4 linked regions of the Saccharomyces cerevisiae S288C genome follow. The gene in region 3 interacts genetically with the main gene of each other region. Each region holds a gene or a part of one and is shown on either strand. Other genes may lie near its edges. The genes, in order: BUD2, MSB1, GIC2 and DMA2.

Region 1 (5,560 bases), on a different chromosome or scaffold from region 3:
ATTATACGTAAAACATTGTCCGTTCTCTTCAGTTATAATTACTGCTGATTCAGGGGCGGCAGCTGATATATCTCGAGTCACCTTCAAAAATCAAACCTGCTATTGGGACCCGTACTTCCATTTGGATTTACCAACTTGATTCTTCTATCAGAGACGAAGGCCCTTATAAACCTTGAACCTGAGCTTAAAATTTACATATTACTTTCTTGTAATCATTAAGTATGAATTTGCAAGGCGTTTACATGAAAAGAGGTCGGCATAGTACATATGGAAATTTACTGGTATGCAATCCATTATGTGTTATCATATCTTTTTTACATAACAGGCACTTCTGAAATTCCCCCTCTTGTATGCCCCTATTTACTCCTTTTTAAATTCTTCGGATTATTATTTAGATCGTGATTCTCTCTACTCAAACATTTCCTTGAACTTGTATAACGGGGAAATAAATCTGAAAAGCAATACATTTGCGCACTGTTAAAACTGGAAAGGAAGAATGACAACCAGCATACTCGATACTTATCCTCAAATATGCTCCCCCAATGCTTTGCCAGGTACTCCCGGCAATTTGACTAAGGAGCAAGAGGAAGCGCTTTTGCAATTTAGGTCAATCTTGTTAGAAAAGAATTACAAAGAAAGGCTGGATGATTCTACGCTATTGCGATTTCTACGGGCAAGGAAATTTGATATCAATGCTAGCGTTGAGATGTTTGTAGAAACTGAACGATGGAGGGAAGAATACGGTGCCAACACTATTATCGAGGATTATGAAAACAACAAGGAAGCCGAAGACAAAGAAAGAATCAAATTGGCCAAAATGTACCCTCAGTATTACCATCACGTTGATAAGGATGGGAGACCATTGTACTTCGAAGAACTAGGAGGAATTAACTTAAAGAAAATGTACAAGATCACTACCGAAAAACAGATGCTAAGAAACTTAGTCAAGGAGTACGAATTATTTGCCACGTACCGGGTCCCAGCGTGTTCGAGAAGAGCTGGCTACCTTATTGAAACTTCGTGCACTGTGCTGGACTTGAAGGGTATCTCACTTTCTAATGCTTATCATGTGCTTTCCTATATTAAAGATGTTGCAGATATCAGTCAAAATTATTATCCTGAAAGAATGGGTAAGTTTTATATTATACACAGTCCATTTGGTTTCTCGACGATGTTCAAGATGGTTAAACCCTTCTTGGATCCAGTAACCGTGTCAAAAATCTTTATTCTTGGCTCTTCTTATAAAAAGGAATTATTAAAACAAATTCCAATCGAGAACTTGCCTGTTAAATATGGTGGTACATCTGTCTTGCACAACCCTAATGATAAGTTCTACTATTCCGATATTGGTCCCTGGAGAGACCCTAGATACATCGGACCAGAAGGTGAAATTCCCAACATTTTTGGTAAATTTACTGTTACCAGCTAACTATGATACAGGCCTTCGTCGTAGCTTTCCGTGAATATAGCATGCATACTCTATAATATGTATATCTCTGTATCTAATAATAATTAATGACTTTCATTCTTGAACGCGTTCTGTTCGATAAAAAAGAAAGGTATCCAAACAAACGCCATTTATGAAAACGGAGGAAGAAACAACAAAATAGTAGGAATAACTACTCGGTCAGACTGAAAACTTTATCCGTGCATACGTCGTGGTGTTTATCTTTGATTGTATCATATTATGAGCTCCAACAATGAACCGGCCCAAAGTCGAACATCATATTTCAAATTGAATGAATTTTTGTCCAACGTTAAGCATTACAAGAATACCTTTAAGGGTGAGATTCAGTGGTGTAATAACCTGTCCTTAAACGACTGGAAGACACACTATCTGCAAATTACCAGTACAGGTGCACTAACCCACTCAATCGATGAGTTAACAGCAGACTCTACTAATATTCAGCCAATTATCAAACATCTACAGCAATGTAGAATCGAGATTATTAAGGATAAGCATTCCTCTTTTAAGGATATTAATGCAAATTGTAATTTTATAATCCAAGTAAACACCTCAGGTAAAGATAATAAAGTTTACCTGCGAGTTAAAAGTTGGAGTGATTTCAAGAAATTGCTAACATGTCTGATCTGGTGGAGCTCAATGAAGACAAATGGTATATTTAATAAGTTTCAAGTATCGCGACCTCTAGAATTTAAAAGCAAAAAAATGGCGAAACCAGAAAGTTTGCTGGTTTACAAATTGAATGTTTTTGGGCCCATCGTTAAGAACATCGTCCTTCCGCCAGCAACAAATATTTTAGAAAGCCCTGATATAATTAATAATGATGACAACAGCGTAGGTTGGTTTTCCGCTATGGGGGTGCTTAAATCAAACGGCATGCTAGATCTTCTTTTACAGAGTGACGGCTCTCTGATTTACTCATTGAATATTAGCCAGCTTTTAAGATCAGAGATAAGAATTCTGGATTCATCTGTTTTACAAAGTGAAAACAGTTTGTTTTTAGGTGAATTGCCATTACTAAGGAGCCAGTTGGGCCTCGAAAAGTTTCGCATAGAAAATATTGCCAGTGCTGCCACCAACTCTAGTGATATTTCTCAAGAAATTATTGTAGAGTTTCCCTTAAGAATAGACCTGGAGGATTGTTTTATAGCGTTACAATCGTTCGCTAGGTCGGAATACTTATCTATTACTGGCTCAGATAAATCAAATGATATGAAGATATCGAATAGCTTTAAAATTTCCATACTGGAAGCTAATTTTCAGTCAATCAATTTAAATGACAAGAATAATACGCCATGGTCAATATTCACAGACATAACGGCCTGGGGCCATACATGGGCTAGAACATCCATGGTTTCAAACTCCTCTAATCCATTTTGGAGAGAAGAGTTTCAGTTCAATGAACTTTTAAGACTTACTAATTCTTATCTGGAAATCAAGCAGTTATTCCACGATCTCAATAATAAAAAACGGTTACGATTGATAGGCAAAATAAAAATCACACAAGAAATAATAAATGATACAAGATATAATAAGGAAACAAGACTACCCATCATGGACGTTGATAACAAAAATTTTCAAATAGGAACAATCTGTATTAAAATTTCTTCAAATTTGAACTTCATTTTACCGTCAACCAATTTCGTTAAATTGGAAAAACTTTTGATGAACGCAAACTTGTCCATGGTTTCCAATCTAATTTACAAATCTTCTTCATCAATGGAGAATGATAACAAATTGACGCAAACATCCATAATTTTTCTCGATATATTCCAATCTTTGTCAAGAATAGAAGAATGGTTCCACGTCCTTATAGACAAAGAATTGGCTAAAATTGATGGAACGGTTTCAAGAATAAACCAGAAAAATTTAGACTCAAAGCATGTTTTCAACAGTTTATTCCGTGGTAACTCTATCTTAACAAAGTCGATTGAACAGTACTTTTTCAGAGTGGGTAATGAATATTTGAGTAAAGCGCTTAGTGCAATACTAAAAGAGATCATTGAGTCAAACAAATCATGTGAATTGGATCCTGCTAGAGTAAAAGAAAAAGATGAAGTAAAAAAGAGGAAAATAATTGCCGACAACTACAAACGATTGTATTCTTGGGTTACGAAGATTTGGAAAAGGCTGTATGCAACGAGTAATGACCTGCCGATTGAAATAAGAAATGTTTTAAAAATCTTTAGGCAAAAACTAGAGATAATTTGTATCGATGACACTTTGCAAATAATTTTGAATGGTATATCAGGATTATTGTTTTTAAGGTTTTTTTGTCCAGTCATATTAAACCCTAAGCTATTCAAATATGTTTCTCAAAATTTAAACGAAACAGCAAGAAGGAATCTTACCCTAATAAGTAAAGTTTTACTTAATCTGTCCACTTTGACGCAGTTTGCAAACAAAGAGCCCTGGCTAATGAAGATGAATAACTTTATCGATAAAAGACACAATGACTTATTAGATTACATTGATAAAATGACGCAAAAGAAACTAGATTTTAATTCAAAGATATTGAACCTAAGTTCTACTATTTCGAGACCCAAATTGGCCATTGAACAAACGATGTTGGATGATTTGCCTCAGATTCCTTATCTGCTTGATAAGAATTTGAGAGAAACTGAGTTTGTTAACTTGATTGTTAATTTCAGTCAGGAAGATATGACCAAGATGGAAAAATACAATCACATGGATAATGGTGGGAAGGGAGAATTAATCGAAGAGGAGGGCCTGTTAAGCGGTAGCAGCCTAAATTTGTCTGTGGATAAAAAAGATTTGGATTCACCAATTGAGGTTAAGCCAGAAATTGGAGAGTTAGAATTTGAGAAAATAACTGAAAACAACACGGAGATCTTCGGAGATGATTTAATGAACCTACTGAAAAGCGATGATGTAGGTTCCAGAAGCAGAGATTTGGATAATGGCGCTAATTCAGGCATCAAATTTAATTCTATAATCCCGAAAGCAGAAGAGGAAAAGCATGCAATGAAAGAATTGGAGCAAGAGTCATGTTTACTCTATAATAGGATTAATCATATTAGAAAACGGTTGTCAGGTTATGAATGTGCTTCCAGCACTTTGTTTGAAGACAAAAAATACTCCATTTCACTCTCACATAAAATTTTTTATGAAGAAATAAAGGAGGGAAAAGAAATTGTTCTTAAACTACTAAATAAACCAACAAATGAAAACTCTTCCGCAAGATTGCAGAAATTCTTCACAAAAGGTGTCTCTAGTAAATCCAATAACACAGTTGGAGATAGTTACTGTAAATTTTTGACTATTGATGTAAGTGATGAGAATCCCAAGAGTAGCAACAAAACATCGGTACATGGAACATCATCGGAAAATGGAGCCAAGGATGATTACTTGACGCTTCCAAACTCGCAAGGTAAAGGTAACTTGGGGAATAGATTTTCCCCGACAAAGTTATCTAGGATAATGAGGAAACCTCCTAACGCAGATGTTCCTAAAGAACAAAATTCCCGTAAGCTGACAAGATGGTTCAAAAAGAAAAAAGAAACAGGGGGATCTTAATCGTAGAAAAAAATGTTCACTTCATATTCTTTCCTTTGAAAGTTTTTTTTTTTTTACTTCTTTATTCACTACTTGTAACAGTATATAGCGGGTTGTACTATCAGCAGAAAAAAGTAATTCATAATTTTTCAGAAAGATTTCTCATAATATAGTATATAAAAAAATGCTTCGAGAGGAGATGATAGACAGCGATAAGTATATGGAAATTTGGAAACCAAACAGGAGATACAAATGGGTATATATTATATTTAATAAAAACGAACAGATGGCGATCCAGAATGTGGAAATAAATAACAAAGTTGAACATCATACGGTTATTCCAAGGTGGCGAGAATGTTAGCCTGCAAAGGAACTTGCTAGTGACATCTCAATGAAAGATTTTTTCCTCCCAGCACCAAAGTTTGGTTTCGAAGACTGTTGCTGTTGTACTGGCTGCCTTGGTTGGTGGAATTGATTTGTATTTGTACCTAAAGGGAAATTTAGTGATGAGGAAGTGTTCGAATGTGATAATGATGAGGAGGTGTCCCCTGTATCGTTCGGACAACACGATGATATTTC
Region 2 (5,971 bases), on a different chromosome or scaffold from region 3:
TCGAATTGGCAGAGGGAGGGCTTGTATCCTCTATTTTAGGGTTATTGGCTAGTTGTTCTTGCGATTCTGATAAAACACTACTTTCTTGGGACATACCACAATTACTCGAGAAATTGGATTTATCTTCCGGCCAATATAAGTAAAGAATGTGTTGGCATTATAGTACATTTTGTTGATATCTTTAAAATTACTTGGATTATGAGAATGATTACCCGTCAACTGCTTGGTAAAGTTTTAACGTTCAAGAAAAGCTCTAGACGGCGTAACGCACCTTTTGTTATGAGCGTTAGAAAAATTAGTGACTAAGAGGATGAGATGATAAAATGCATATGATGTTGAATATGGAAAATAAAATGTTATATTCTTACTCAACGTAACCTGCCATTTGTAGGAGTTAAAAATTATGTAGTAGACTTAAATCTCTCCTTATTGTCCTAAATACTTGTAATTACATACACATATATATGTATAAATATTCGGGAAATTTTACAACTGTTGAGATTTCATAAAGATGATAATTTCAGATACAAAGTGTTTCTATATGCCGAAATTTCCGCTTCTAATGTTATCATATAGCTTCTTTCTCTCCTGTCTTTTGTTAATATTTCCATGCAGTTTGTTTCCCTGAGGAGCTTCTGGTAGGTAAAATTCACTATTTACAGCCCCCATAGGCTGAGCGGGTACGGAATAGGCATTCTGCTGCATGCCTTGGGGAAAACTACGCCTGTTAGCACCAGCTGTGTAACGTATCGGCTCCTGAGCTGGTACCATATGGGACATCATTGGAGGTGCTCGCATAGGTGGAGGTCCATTGTAGTATTCCGCAGGTACGACAGGTTGAGCTTGCGGTGAATACCTATTAACGTGCTGCTGTGGATATTGATTGGGGCGAACTCCCTTTGGTACCATTTGCGGCGGATTATTGCTCCACTTTCCATCTAACATATGAGCATTGCCTGCCCGGCTGTTCCCATAAGCATTTGTTGTGTTATTATGATACGGCGGCTGAGTTACCTTGTAAGTATTTACAGGGTGCTGGTGGTTAGGGTTCATTCGTTCCATTTGTTGATATAATGGAACGTTAGATGGAAGATTGGGCACACCTTGTTTTACTGGCACCATATGTTGGGGAATAGGTGAAGCATCTGCCCGTTGATTTCTGGACTTTAGTTCTGGGGGCACAATATTGTTTTGGAAGGGACGTTGTTTTTGTTGGTGAGATGGATAATTATGCTGGTCCCGATATGTCATATGTGGTTGATTTGCTAAAACGTGAGCAGGATCATTATACCCAACGGGTACATTAATCGTGTTCTGCTTGAATCCAGCCGAATTGGTGGAGAATTGTGGAGACCTCGCAGGTGAATATGCAGAAGGTGGAACTGGTGCACTTGCAGGCGACATTTCATTTCTACGATCGTTCTGATAGTATTTTTGCTGAACAGGAGATACACAGTCTCCAGGCGCATTTTTATATGGTTTTGGTGTTACCTGTTGAGATGGACTGACTGCACCTTGTAAGACGTTCAGGCGAGACTCATTCGTAAATGCCTTTTTCGAATCCGAATTTGAATAAGTGGGTTGACTAGGCATTCTTGATGCCGGCAAGTTGTTGATATTTGGAGAATAATATGATGATGAATCGTCGTTGACTTTGGATTCCTCAGAAATCTTTCTAGGTTCCGCTAATTTCCTATCAGCGGTGTATTTGGAACTATCAGCGCAAGAATCATTTGTATTTGTACTTAGCTTCAATGAGTGAACGGCGCTTGAATGGCTGCTTTGTAAGTCATCGTCAGTTATATTGGATGGCTTATATTGATCAAACTTTGTCAATGATTCGAAAGTCTCTGCCTCAGTTATGGAGATTTTTACATCGTCTGGCTCATTAATCATCATTTCTTCAACCATACCGTTTAATTCTTCAATAGCTGAGTCGGTAGCTCTTTTCTGGGAATTTTTAAGTTTGTCACTGTCGTCATCATCGTGTTCGTACATTAATTCCGGTATTTCAATCTTAAAGTTTGATGAACCGGTCTCTATTACTGGTAACTGATATTCATCAGGATTAAGTGTGCTAAACTGAGATAGTACTCGCTCTTCTTTTTTCGATTTGTGATTTTTGTTGGTATGGTATTCTTCGCGGATGGGAGCGTCTTTACTTTTTTCCTCAAATGATGAACTACTAGAGTTACTACCGCTTTTCTTTCGCAGGTTGTTTAGAGGATTCCATTTGGAGATTTTATGTTCAAAAGAATGCAAATTCACATTATGCTTATTTTTAGTCAATGCATTTTTACTAATGACTGTGTGATAGATTCCTTGGTTATCGGGTGCTGAATCCCTTCGAACAGTACTTTGCTGAGGTACCTCAGCTTGGAATTTTTTGTAGGTCTGAGATAGTGTAGGAGATTTGGAGAGAGGTGGATCTTCTAATTCAAAGTCATCAGGAGGTAGTTCCTTTTCGGTCGTTGGTGACTGTGCAGAAGTCTTTTTCTTCAATTGACCCTTTTTATTATAATCTAACGTTATATCACATTCTTGGAAAACCACCCATTTTTTAAATCCATCAAATTCAAATTCCAATATAATAGATCTTCCAAAAATTTTTTTCTTTTCGGATGTTTGTTCGAAAGAAAGGGACGATAACCAAGTCCAAATAAAATAATCATCGATATCTAGTCTTTTAACCTCAATACATTCTTTTAAATGAGAAATATTTTCAATACATTCTCTGGGAGCCCAACCTGGTTGAAATGTTGAATGTTTGGTAGACATTGCTTTCATCAACCTTCTTGACTCCTGGGACATTTTCCTGCTAATTCCCTCCACTGTATTTTTCTTTCTGAATAAAGACTTTAATAAAGCGTAGTCCTCTCTTGCTTCGAATGCATCATGATCACTGAAATCAAGAAGATCATTGCAACGCTCCAATAATTGCCAAGGTTTTCTCGAAAAGACGTCTGTTTTTAAAGTTACCAGAGGAATGGTTAGGATTGTCTCTGATGTGTACGCTGTTGATTTTCTTGGAGGATACTGATTATTGAATAGTAAACTCTTAAGTGTGCGCGGCAGCTTTGCCGATTCAAGATCTTGAGGGACAAAACTTCTTAGAAATGCTAAGAGTAGGTGAAACATGGCATCTGAAGCCGGAATCCACTGATCTAGCCCATCTTGTATGGAATTGTTGGGGGCAAAAGACTTCATGGCGGCTGATTCAAAATCGTAATCTTGGATATCAGAATTTGGTATCTGTTTACTAAACGCCCAGATTGCACACATCTTCGATATTTTTCTAGCACTCATTTTATTAACTCTTGAATTTGATGAAATTGAAATAATCAAGTCAAAAAAATCGTAAACGATTGATGCATGATTTGGGGAAGCTAGACATTGAGGCATAATTTCCAAAAATGATTTTCGAGGAAATTTTTTATCTTCTTCCCTGAATTTAAACTCCAAATAAGATTTCCAGCCTATGATTTCTGAATTTGGAAGTCTGCACCAAATGTATTTTAAGCATTGAAATAAAGTCCAGACATCGGCCTTGGAAACAATTCTGAGCTGTTTTTTTTCGTTGACTGGTTGACCGTTTCCTAGTGGGAATAGCTGATTTAGTAATGTCAGCAATTTGTCGTTCGTCTGTTCCGGCCTGAACGGTATCATTAAAAATTCAACATCTGGACCTTTTTCCTTAAGTTCAGCGGTGATTACGTGTATGACGCCTTTAACTTTCTCCCGACTAAATTGATGGAAGAATTCAAACTCTTCGTCATCCATACTATTGTGTTCGTTTTTGGTTCTTCCGTTTGATCTAGGTACATTTTTCTCATTATTCTGATTTTTGTTTGGACTTAGATTTGTTTTCTGAGCTTTTTTTGGTGAATTGGATCGACTTTTCCTGATCTCAGCAGTCGGTGGAGTTGGGAGAGGTTTTGCCATATCGTTCATAACCAATACTATCCTAATACGAATACCCTTTTGCCATGTAAAGAAAACTTTTATAGAAGCAGCCTCTTGCCTCAAAATTCCCAAGCGATGACTTTTGGCGGTTTCAAGTTGTCATCATTTGCGAATGTTTCGTTTTTTTGTATTTTTCTTTGCTTTTTTCGTAGGAATACGCCGGAAAGTAAACAAATCAACAAAAACGCATTCAAAAACGCCTTGATATCTTTTACATATACATAAGAACACGTCCTTGGTGTGTGCACATGAAATTGTAAAATCTAGTGCTAGCAGGACTCTACCAAAAGTAAAGCTGAAAAATTTATGGCACTTTATTTACACGTATAAAATTTTAACGAAACAAGTATATATTATGAGAGGGGAAATGAACAGAATATATAGAAATATACTCCAGTTGCATCAATAAGTCTATTCAATAATACGTGTGATTAGACCGGTACCAACAGTTCTTCCACCCTCTCTGATATTGAAACGTTGACCAACTTCTAATGGGGTAGGATGGATCAAATCACATTCCATTTCAACATTGTCACCTGGCATAACTTGCATAGAATGATCTTCAACCTCCTTAGGAAATCTCATCACAACTGTAACATCAGCTGTTCTTATAAACATTTGTGGTCTGTAGTTTTCACCAAACCCAGAATGTCTACCACCTTCCTCTTTGGATAAAATGTACAAAGAGGCTAGAATCTTTGTATGGGCTTTAACGGTACCTGGCTTAGCTAAGACCATACCTCTCTTCAATTGATCTCTCCTGATACCTCTAAGTAAAACACCGGCATTGTCACCTGCCATAGCAGAGTCCAATTCCTTTCTAAACATTTCAATACCAGTAACTGTTGTTTTCAATGGGGTGGAGTTGTGACCAACAATTTCCAATTCCTCACCTTTCTTTAAATTACCCCTTTCCACACGACCAGTGACCACAGTACCTCTACCGGAGATAGAGAAGATATCTTCAACGGGCATCAAGAAAGGCTTGTTCAAATCTCTTTCAGGTGTAGGAATATACTCATCCACTGCATCCAAAAGTTTCATGATGGCCTGCTCCCCAATTTCAGGTTGGCGACCTTCCAAAGCGCAAAGGGCAGAACCCATGATAATTGGAGCATTATCACCGTCAAACCCATATTCGTTTAAAAGTTCTCTCATTTCCATTTCGACTAACTCTAACATTTCTGGATCATCAATGGTATCAACCTTGTTAACAAAAACGACAATATGTTGGACACCAACTTGTCTGGCCAAAAGTAAATGTTCTCTAGTTTGGGGCATTTGTCCATCGGTAGCAGCTACAACAATGATAGCACCATCCATTTGAGCAGCACCGGTAATCATATTCTTGATGTAATCAGCGTGGCCTGGACAGTCGACGTGAGAATAATGTCTCTTGGCCGTTTCGTATTCCACGTGTGCAGTAGAAATTGTAATACCACGAGCTCTTTCTTCCGGAGCCTTATCGATGGCAGCATAGTCCAAGAAGTTGGCACCACCTTTTGCGGCTAACGTTTTCGTAATGGCTGCGGTTAAAGTTGTCTTCCCATGATCAACATGGCCGATCGTACCTATATTTACATGCGGTTTGGAACGATCAAAAGCAGCTGCATAGGAAGTAGTAGTTTGAGAAAAGGTCCTAGAAATTACTGAAGAGAGCCTCAGAAGTTTCCCAGAAGCTTTAAAAGCTGTTCTTGTGAGTAATCTTGGTAATAAAGCTGACATTTTTGTCTGTTACCTTTGTCGAGCTAGAATAAAACTGAAAGCACAAAATAGTTTACAACAAAGAAGCTCAAATTTTTTCAGCTTAATCAGTTTCAAAGATAAAAATGACCAAAAATAGGAAAATCTGTAACCAGTTAGCAGCAAAAGGGAGGAAAGCCTGGTCGCGAAAGGATATATTGACTGAGGTCGGATGGGTGCTAAAACAAAATCCTTAAAAATATGAAAAATCAGCTCCAGCGCGGGTTAGTGGGAAACTGACCAATCAATGGGCAGCCTGTCAATT
Region 3 (3,486 bases):
TCCGCAGATTTATCCAAAGGTACTTCATCTATCCATAACGATACTGAGTCTGCTAACGATAGTAGCAATGGCAACGGAAACCTCGGTTTGGGTACAGAGTCACGCAATACATTGTTAACGGCAACTCCCATTGAATTAATCTGCCGGGAAGGCTTCTTCTACCGGAGAGATATTCCGGACGTTCCCATTACCACAGGAGCGTACCTGGAATTTAAATTCAAGGCGAAAGAAGAGGAATTGATCAACTCTAGCATCAATGAGGAGGATTATGCTGCTAAATCAAAGCATGAAAAAATGAATGCGCATTTCTTCAAGCCTGATATTCAAGAAGAGACGGAACTTGCCTTTGAAATTTTGAGCAAGACAACGCTGACAGAGAAATACGTTAACAGTTTGGAGTACTTCTTGATGGAATTCAGGTGGGAGAATAAACTAGTTGGTCTAGGCTTAAAACTTCGGGAATCCAAAAGAACCTGGCAAAGGAGAAAGGCGTTATTTGCCCTTTTCGAATTTTGGAGAGACCAATCAAGAGACAAAAGAAGATTCCACAACTACACCATCCTGCATGCGGTGAAAGAGATGGAAAACTACAGAATATTTATTAATCGATCCGTTTCATGGTTCTACAACCATATTACCCTGCTAAAAATGATCCTCTACGACCTCTGCGACAATGTGACCACTCAATGGAGAGAGTGGATGTTTCCCCATAACGAAACACTGCCGGCATTGGGTCAGGACGGCATTAACGAAGACAATCTGAATGAAACCATCGACAACATGTTAATTTTTGACTTCCTTGATGACGGTTCAGAAAACAACCAGGTCAAATATTCCAGAATCATACCGCCAGATATCCGTTAAGCTGGTCCGTACGTTGGGGCAGTTTCGAGAATAGATAAAAAAATGAAAAATAAAAAAAAATAAAAAAAACACAAAATAATGGACCGTTACTATGCCCAACCAAGTAACCTCCCAACTTATTTGGAACATTACATATTTAGCGCTTAACATTACATACATATTTAGCGCTTAACATTACATACACCTTTATCGACGAATTTGTAACTATTTCTTACTCTTGCGCTGAGGAACGCCCCAGTCGTACAAAAGCACCTCTGCATACTAAGAAACTTAAACTATCGCCATTGTCTCAAAATAGCAAAAAACGCAAAAAGCATACCGCTGGGCGCTTATCTATATTAACCTACACGAGAAAAGAAACATGATTGACTGCGTCAGATTCAAAAACCTGCAAAGTTTGTTTTTATAATTTTGGCGTTCAGCAAGCGCGCGGCTCCGCTCCATTAATATTCCAGAAAAAGAAATTCCTTCTTTGGGTGTTGTGTATTGCTACTTTGGGCAGGCGCGACCGGGCCAAAAGAATGCGGCACCCGGCAAAGACGCGTTCTGGCCCCTGAAGACTTAAGCACTGGAATGGCTCCGAGGATTGGTCACCCAGAAACAGGTGCAGACCAACCATTTCGAGATCTAGATGTTGCCTATTTCTCGAGGAAACGCTGCCGTTATCGCCATGTTTGGTGGAACAATTGTGAAACGTGATCAATTCGTGTTTGCAAGCTAGTGATCATTCGCATCCGAAAAAGAAACTGAAAATGTAAAACTCCAGTAAAACGAGACCTGTTGATGGATTGTTTCGTGTCTGGTATATATTATTGCTACTGCTCAAGAGAGCTTCTTTTTTTATGCTATCGAACTCGATCTTTCGCTCCGAAACACCTAACACTAACAAAAGGAATACCTGACAGAATACGCTATCAAAAGAACGAATATGACTAGTGCAAGTATTACCAATACTGGAAACGAAACCATGAACCTTCCACAGATGCGGTCGATTTGGCTGGATGAAGATGAAGAAGCTGAAAAACTCTACGGTCTGCAGGCCCAGCAATTCATGGGATCTGATGATGAAGAAAACCTAGGCATTACTTTCATCAACAGCGATAAACCTGTGCTGAGTAACAAGAAAAACATTGAGTTGCCTCCACTTTCACCAAATTCACATCCGTCTTGCCACCACAGGAGAAGTAATTCTAACTCTGCAAAGTCTAAAGAATCATCGTCATCATCGTCCAGCGCCAACAAGACAAATCACAAAAAGGTTTTCCTTAAGCTTAATTTGTTGAAGAAAAAGTTGCTTGGTGCCCAACCGGACATAAGAGGTAAAGGTATCTCCACACCATTTGATTTTCAACATATTTCACATGCTGACACTAGAAATGGATTCCAAGATGAGCAATTGCAGGAACCTTCATCGCTGTCCACAGAGATTAAGGACGACTATACCTCCTCCTCAAGCAAGCGGGATTCGAAATCACTAAATAAAGCTTTTGTCACTGAAAGGATCCCTGCTAATCGTGAAAGCAAACTCATTTCAAGATCGCACGAAAATAAGACATCAAGACTATCAGTCGCGCGTTCGATCTCAGTAACGTCCTCCAATTACTCTAAAAACACACAAGGAAACAATCATTCCATTAATGGGAGAGTCGTATCTACGTCAACTATGGCTACATCTATTTTTGAGTATTCCCCAAACGCATCTCCAAAACAATTTAAAAATAAGTCACACGCTCTGGGTCATAGATACACTAATTCCACGGATTCTAGTGAGTCTTCGCTGGATTTTTTGAAGAACTACAACTTCCCCACACTACTTGAAGATAAGCCTATTTTAGACTTCTTGCCTCGTTCTCAGAGGTCAAGCGCTTATCGTAGCCTTTTAGAGACCCCAAACTCAAATAAGGACTCAGCAAAAGCCTTCTTTCCTTCACGCCAAAGCCCTCTTCCCAAGAGAAGAAACTCTATAGCTACGCCTTCTCCACAATCTAAATTTTCCTACTCTGACTCCCCTGTAAACCATAGAAAATCTTTCGATGATGTTCTTTATTCTTTCAACCAGCTCGAGCCCCTGCAAACTTAAGCTAAGGACAGAAAATGAAAAAAAAAAAAAAAAAAAATTCAAAGAATCAGCTTATAAAACATATTCAAGGACCATCTGAAGTATCATTCATTCGTTTTTTACTCGTTAATCTCATTCATTCGTTTCCTCATTCTTTTTTCTTTGTTCTTTATTTCGGCTATTTTTTCACTATTAAAATAACTAGAGCTAACAATATTATTTCTTCTGCTTTAGTTACAAAACAAGGACATTCATTTAACTTGGCGTTATCCCATACATTCGTTTATTATATCTTCTTTTAAAACACAATTTCTTTTACAGTTAAACTTTTCTGATTTATTATATATTACTTAAGATTGTTCATATAACTAACATTTATATGCTTATATGCGTGAAGTGCGCTTTTGTAGAACATGTGGCTGTTTCTGTAGAAGCCTTGTCTTTCTCTGTAATCCTTTAAAGGCCAACCGTACGTGCTTAATTACAAGCTTTGTTCGCATTGCAAGAAAGTTAGAAAAAAAATCAATTCTGAAAGATAATTATAATTCAAACGGTAAACCATT
Region 4 (4,073 bases), on a different chromosome or scaffold from region 3:
TTCTTGCGTTCCAAGTTTTTGGAAAGCGTGACGAGTTCAATTCTAAGTTACAGAGATGTGACAAACAATGCAGAATCTTTGCAAAATGTGAAGACAAGCATCGTTAGCTCTAAGGAAATGGTGAAGAAGTCGGCATTATGGGGCGATTGGCAAAGAGATTTGACCAAAATTTCTCACAAGACTCAAGAATGGAAAATAGTTGAAGGTGGGCATGAAATATATAAGTATGGTCTGGGCAAACAACAAACTCAAGAAGTCCTATTAAGATTAATAGGTGAGCTTGGCAAACTAACCGAGGATTAACCGAGTTCTTTACTTTTTTTTTAGTTTTATATGTGAAAGCAAAATTGACTGCCAACGATGGAGGTATTGTATTCCTGAAAACAATAAGTCAAATATGTAAACGGCGCAAATATATAAATACTAAGAGAATAATTAAAATAATATTAAGGTACGAGATGTGGAGTTCGGTGGTTTTTCTTTATTTTTCAAACTGTGTATTTTCTTTGACCTTAAGGATGGCTATCAACATCCTTTGAAGTTTCCATTAAGACGCTAAGTTGATCCACCAGTTGATCACCTTCACTTTCCACATCACTTTCATCTTCCTCGTCACTACTTTCAAAGGAGGCCTCCAAATCACAACTTGATCTACAGTTGGGGCAAACAAATTGCGGATATGAGAGCATGACCAATCTTCTTACACAACGGAAATGCCAGCTATGTGCGCATGGTGATATGAAAATTGCTTGACACGGTTTGATCTTACATAGGCAAATCGAACAATCTTCTTCTTCAATACCTGTAGTTAATTTTTGTAAATTCTGCAAACGCTGTAAAGCTTCTTTGTTGAACGAATTTGCCTTTAGTTTCCATGATCTATTTAGCTCAATCCTCATCCTTACACAACGATAGATTTCTTCCGTGCCACCTCTAAAATCCATTCCTAACTGTAAAATATCACCATCACGAAGAGGGGTATCTTTCGATAAAGAGGAAGCGGGTGAGAGCCTTTGGTGATTTAAGAAAGTTCCACTAGATGATTTCACATCCTTTATATACCAGTTACCTTGAGAGTCAACTTTAAAACAACCATGTGTCCTTGAAACAACTTTGGATTTAAATACAACTGGATGATATTGTTCAGGTATTTTAGAAATTGCATCGCGAACACGCTCAGTATAGCGGCCAATAACCAATTGGGATCCAGGGCCAGCCTTTCTTATAATCGGTTCAAAGAATAAACCTTGATTTGTCGTGGACGAACTATCAATAAATGGGGTTAGTCTTATACTAAAAAGACCATGCTTATCTTTCCTTTGCTTCAAAGTGACCTCATCTACATTGAACATATTGTTTGACTCCTCTGCACTTGTTGCAGGTAAATCCAAATGTAAAATTTCGGTCCCATTTGGCTGGTTTGCAGCATATATCAAGTGACGTAAATTCTTATACATTTCCTGACTGTTGTTAACAATAGTAGATCCATCTGCACCACCGACTATATTTCTCGTTGTAGCCGCTGGCGCCATGGAAATTATCGAGGTTGTGGTATTGTTAGTACCGTTAGGCTGCCGCTGATTCAAAGACTCTTGAACGTTACCAACATTGTTGCCTTCGAAATTATGCGCAGATGATTGCTGGTGGTCTGTGGTTGTAGGGGCAGTGAGAGATATGGAGATGGGGAGTTGATAGTTGCGATGAACGTGGAACTGGGCCGACAGAGGCATTTGTATAGGATGATGCAGACGTGGTTCCTGCTGTTGCGGAGCGGTATCGATACTTTCCATGGCCACACTCATATGTGAGTTAGATGGGGTTGTGCCGAATAGACGCTGATCAGGAGCCGCAGAAGAAGAAGCTGTCTGGCTATTTTGCCTAATTCCGAAGGTATTCAAAAACGAACTGATACCCGACGCCGGACGAGCCCGCTCATTGGATGGAGTACCACTGGCTCTGTTCCTTGGGTTTATGCCACTACTGCTAGTGGTGTTGGCATTTGATGCGGATGAAGAGTTGGACGTCATCGATGAAGTTGGTGCAGTGGGAGCAGGGGTATTAGCAGGGATAGGCGTGTACATTTCCACGGTATATCCTTTGCTGAAAGCTTCAAACGTATACAATGCGTTGCTATACTTTCTCGACTTCTTTTCAAATCAAAATATATGCCCACGTTTGGAGTCATCAAGTATTGTGTTTGAAATTCCACAACAATGGTTGATGCCTTCGCCGTCGACCGTGATACATTAATCTGGCCAAAACAAAAAAAGGAATCATGATAAGATGATTCATTGCTAACTACGAAACGAAGCAATATAAAGATAAGTTTTTGGATTCCGATACATAATCATATAGGCATGAATATATTTTTATATATGTGTACACTGGGGCAAGGGAGATCACAATTTGCTCAAATCAGTGGGCGTCGCCTTAGTGGACACAATTTCGTCGTACAACAATGTAGTCAAAAATTCACTGAATTTCTCGCCTCTGATTTCTGGCAAGAAATACTTAGCGGCCAGCGCGAATTTGTTCTTGTCACCCAATGGACTTGCCTTAGACAGTCTTTCCACTTGTTCTTTTAGAATCTTTTCGGTTAATTCTGGGGTGACCTTTTCTCCCGTGTCCTTTAGAGTAACACCGTGTTTCACCCATTGATACAATTGACAACGAGACACTTCAGCAGTGGCGGCGTCTTCCATCAAGTTGTTGATGGGCACACATCCAGAGCCTCTGAGCCAAGCTTCCATGTACTGCAACCCGATATCCAAGTTTTGTACAATTCCCTCGGTAGTAATCTCACCATTTGGAATTTTGGTTTCCAGCAGATTAGCAGCCGTTACAACGTTTTCAGGAATGAAATAGATTTGGTTTGGTGTTCCCATATTAATGAAAACTTCATTACAAATAGGGGCCAGTGCTGGGTGTGCAACCCATGACCCATCATGTCCATTTGTCAGCTCTCTAATCTTATCATTACGGACTTTAGTCATGGCCTTTTCATTGGCTGCCGGGTCGTCTTTGATAGGGATTTGCGCAGCCATACCACCCATGGCATGAACACCCCTCCGATGACAGGTATTGATTAATCTTTTCACGTATGCATCCATGAATGGGGAAGTCATAGTCACTTGATTTCTATTGGGCAAAATGTGATTAGGATCATTTCTTAATCTCTTGATTGTAGAGAAAATATAGTCCCAACGTCCGCAATTCAACCCACTAGAATGTTGTCTTAATTGATAGATGATCTCTTCCATTTGGAAAGCAGCAGGCAAAGTTTCAATCAACACAGTAGCTCTGATTGTACCCCTTGGGATCCCAATGTAATCTTGAGCTACACAGAAGACGTCGTTCCATAGTTTAGCTTCCAAGTGGTGCTCCATCTTTGGCAAATAGAAGTAAGGACCTTTGCCCAATTTGATTAATTCTTTGGCATTATGGTAGAAATATAAACCAAAATCAAAGATGGAAGCGCTGATTGGTTCATCATCTACATAAAGGTGCTTTTCCACCATGTGCCAACCACGGGGTCTCACGATAATAGTGGGCAAGTTGGCCACATTTCCATTCAATTTGTACGATTTTCTTGGTGTGTCAAAATCGATTTGATTTCTGATCGCGTCGTAGAGATTAACTTGACCGTAAACCATGTTGTTCCAAGTAGGTGAAGCTGAATCTTCAAAATCAGTCATATAGGTGTTCACAGGAGCATTCAAAGCGTTGATCAGCATATTTCTCAATGGAGGCCCTGTGATTTCCGTTGACCTATTAATTAACCCCGGTGCCAAAATTGGACCTTGCCAAGTGGGATCATTTCTAATATTTGCAGTTTCAGGCAGGAAATCCAGATGATAGGAGCCCGAGTCTAATTTCTTCTGAACAACTTGTCTGTTTTCCAATAATTGTTTTCTCTTGTTGTTGAAAGTTCTGTGTAAAAGAACAATGAACTCTAGAGCATCCTTGGTAAGAATATCTCCCACTGTAGTACTAGATGGTTTAAAGAAAGGCTCCTTATCAACATCCACCAGTAATTTGACGTTATCCAAACTGACCTTAACCATTTTCTTAAT

The links.
Region 1: mutations in GIC2 (region 3) and BUD2 are lethal when combined (synthetic lethality), as found in Saccharomyces cerevisiae (one study listed by BioGRID).
Region 2: of GIC2 (region 3) and MSB1, extra expression of one rescues a mutant of the other (dosage rescue), as found in Saccharomyces cerevisiae (one study listed by BioGRID).
Region 4: mutations in GIC2 (region 3) and DMA2 impair growth when combined (synthetic growth defect), as found in Saccharomyces cerevisiae (one study listed by BioGRID).

The regions. Positions count from the first base shown.
Region 1 is NC_001143.9:265,587-271,146, reverse strand, and holds BUD2 (GTPase-activating protein BUD2), read left to right. Parts: upstream 1-1,687; coding exon 1,688-5,002; downstream 5,003-5,560. Other genes in the region: YKL091C (phosphatidylinositol/phosphatidylcholine-binding protein), read left to right, coding at 497-1,429; MBR1 (Mbr1p), read right to left, coding at 5,339-5,560. UniProt on the Saccharomyces cerevisiae protein: Stimulates the GTPase activity of BUD1/RSR1. Participates in the regulation of bud-site selection.
Region 2 is NC_001147.6:683,747-689,717, reverse strand, and holds MSB1 (Msb1p), read right to left. Parts: upstream 3,952-5,971; coding exon 538-3,951; downstream 1-537. Other genes in the region: IES4 (Ies4p), read right to left, coding at 1-94; TUF1 (translation elongation factor Tu), read right to left, coding at 4,375-5,688. UniProt on the Saccharomyces cerevisiae protein: May play a role in polarity establishment and bud formation. The MSB1 gene may be functionally redundant.
Region 3 is NC_001136.10:1,078,506-1,081,991, reverse strand, and holds GIC2 (Gic2p), read left to right. Parts: upstream 1-1,792; coding exon 1,793-2,944; downstream 2,945-3,486. Other genes in the region: SUM1 (Sum1p), read left to right, coding at 1-864. UniProt on the Saccharomyces cerevisiae protein: Required for cell size and shape control, bud site selection, bud emergence, actin cytoskeletal organization, mitotic spindle orientation/positioning, and mating projection formation in response to mating pheromone.
Region 4 is NC_001146.8:406,349-410,421, reverse strand, and holds DMA2 (ubiquitin-conjugating protein DMA2), read right to left. Parts: upstream 2,082-4,073; coding exon 513-2,081; downstream 1-512. Other genes in the region: YNL115C (uncharacterized protein), read left to right, coding at 1-303; malate synthase MLS1, read right to left, coding at 2,400-4,064. UniProt on the Saccharomyces cerevisiae protein: E3 ubiquitin-protein ligase which functions in cell cycle retarding in conjunction with the UBC4 and UBC13/MMS2 complex, 2 E2 ubiquitin conjugating enzymes. Involved in nutritional control of the cell cycle.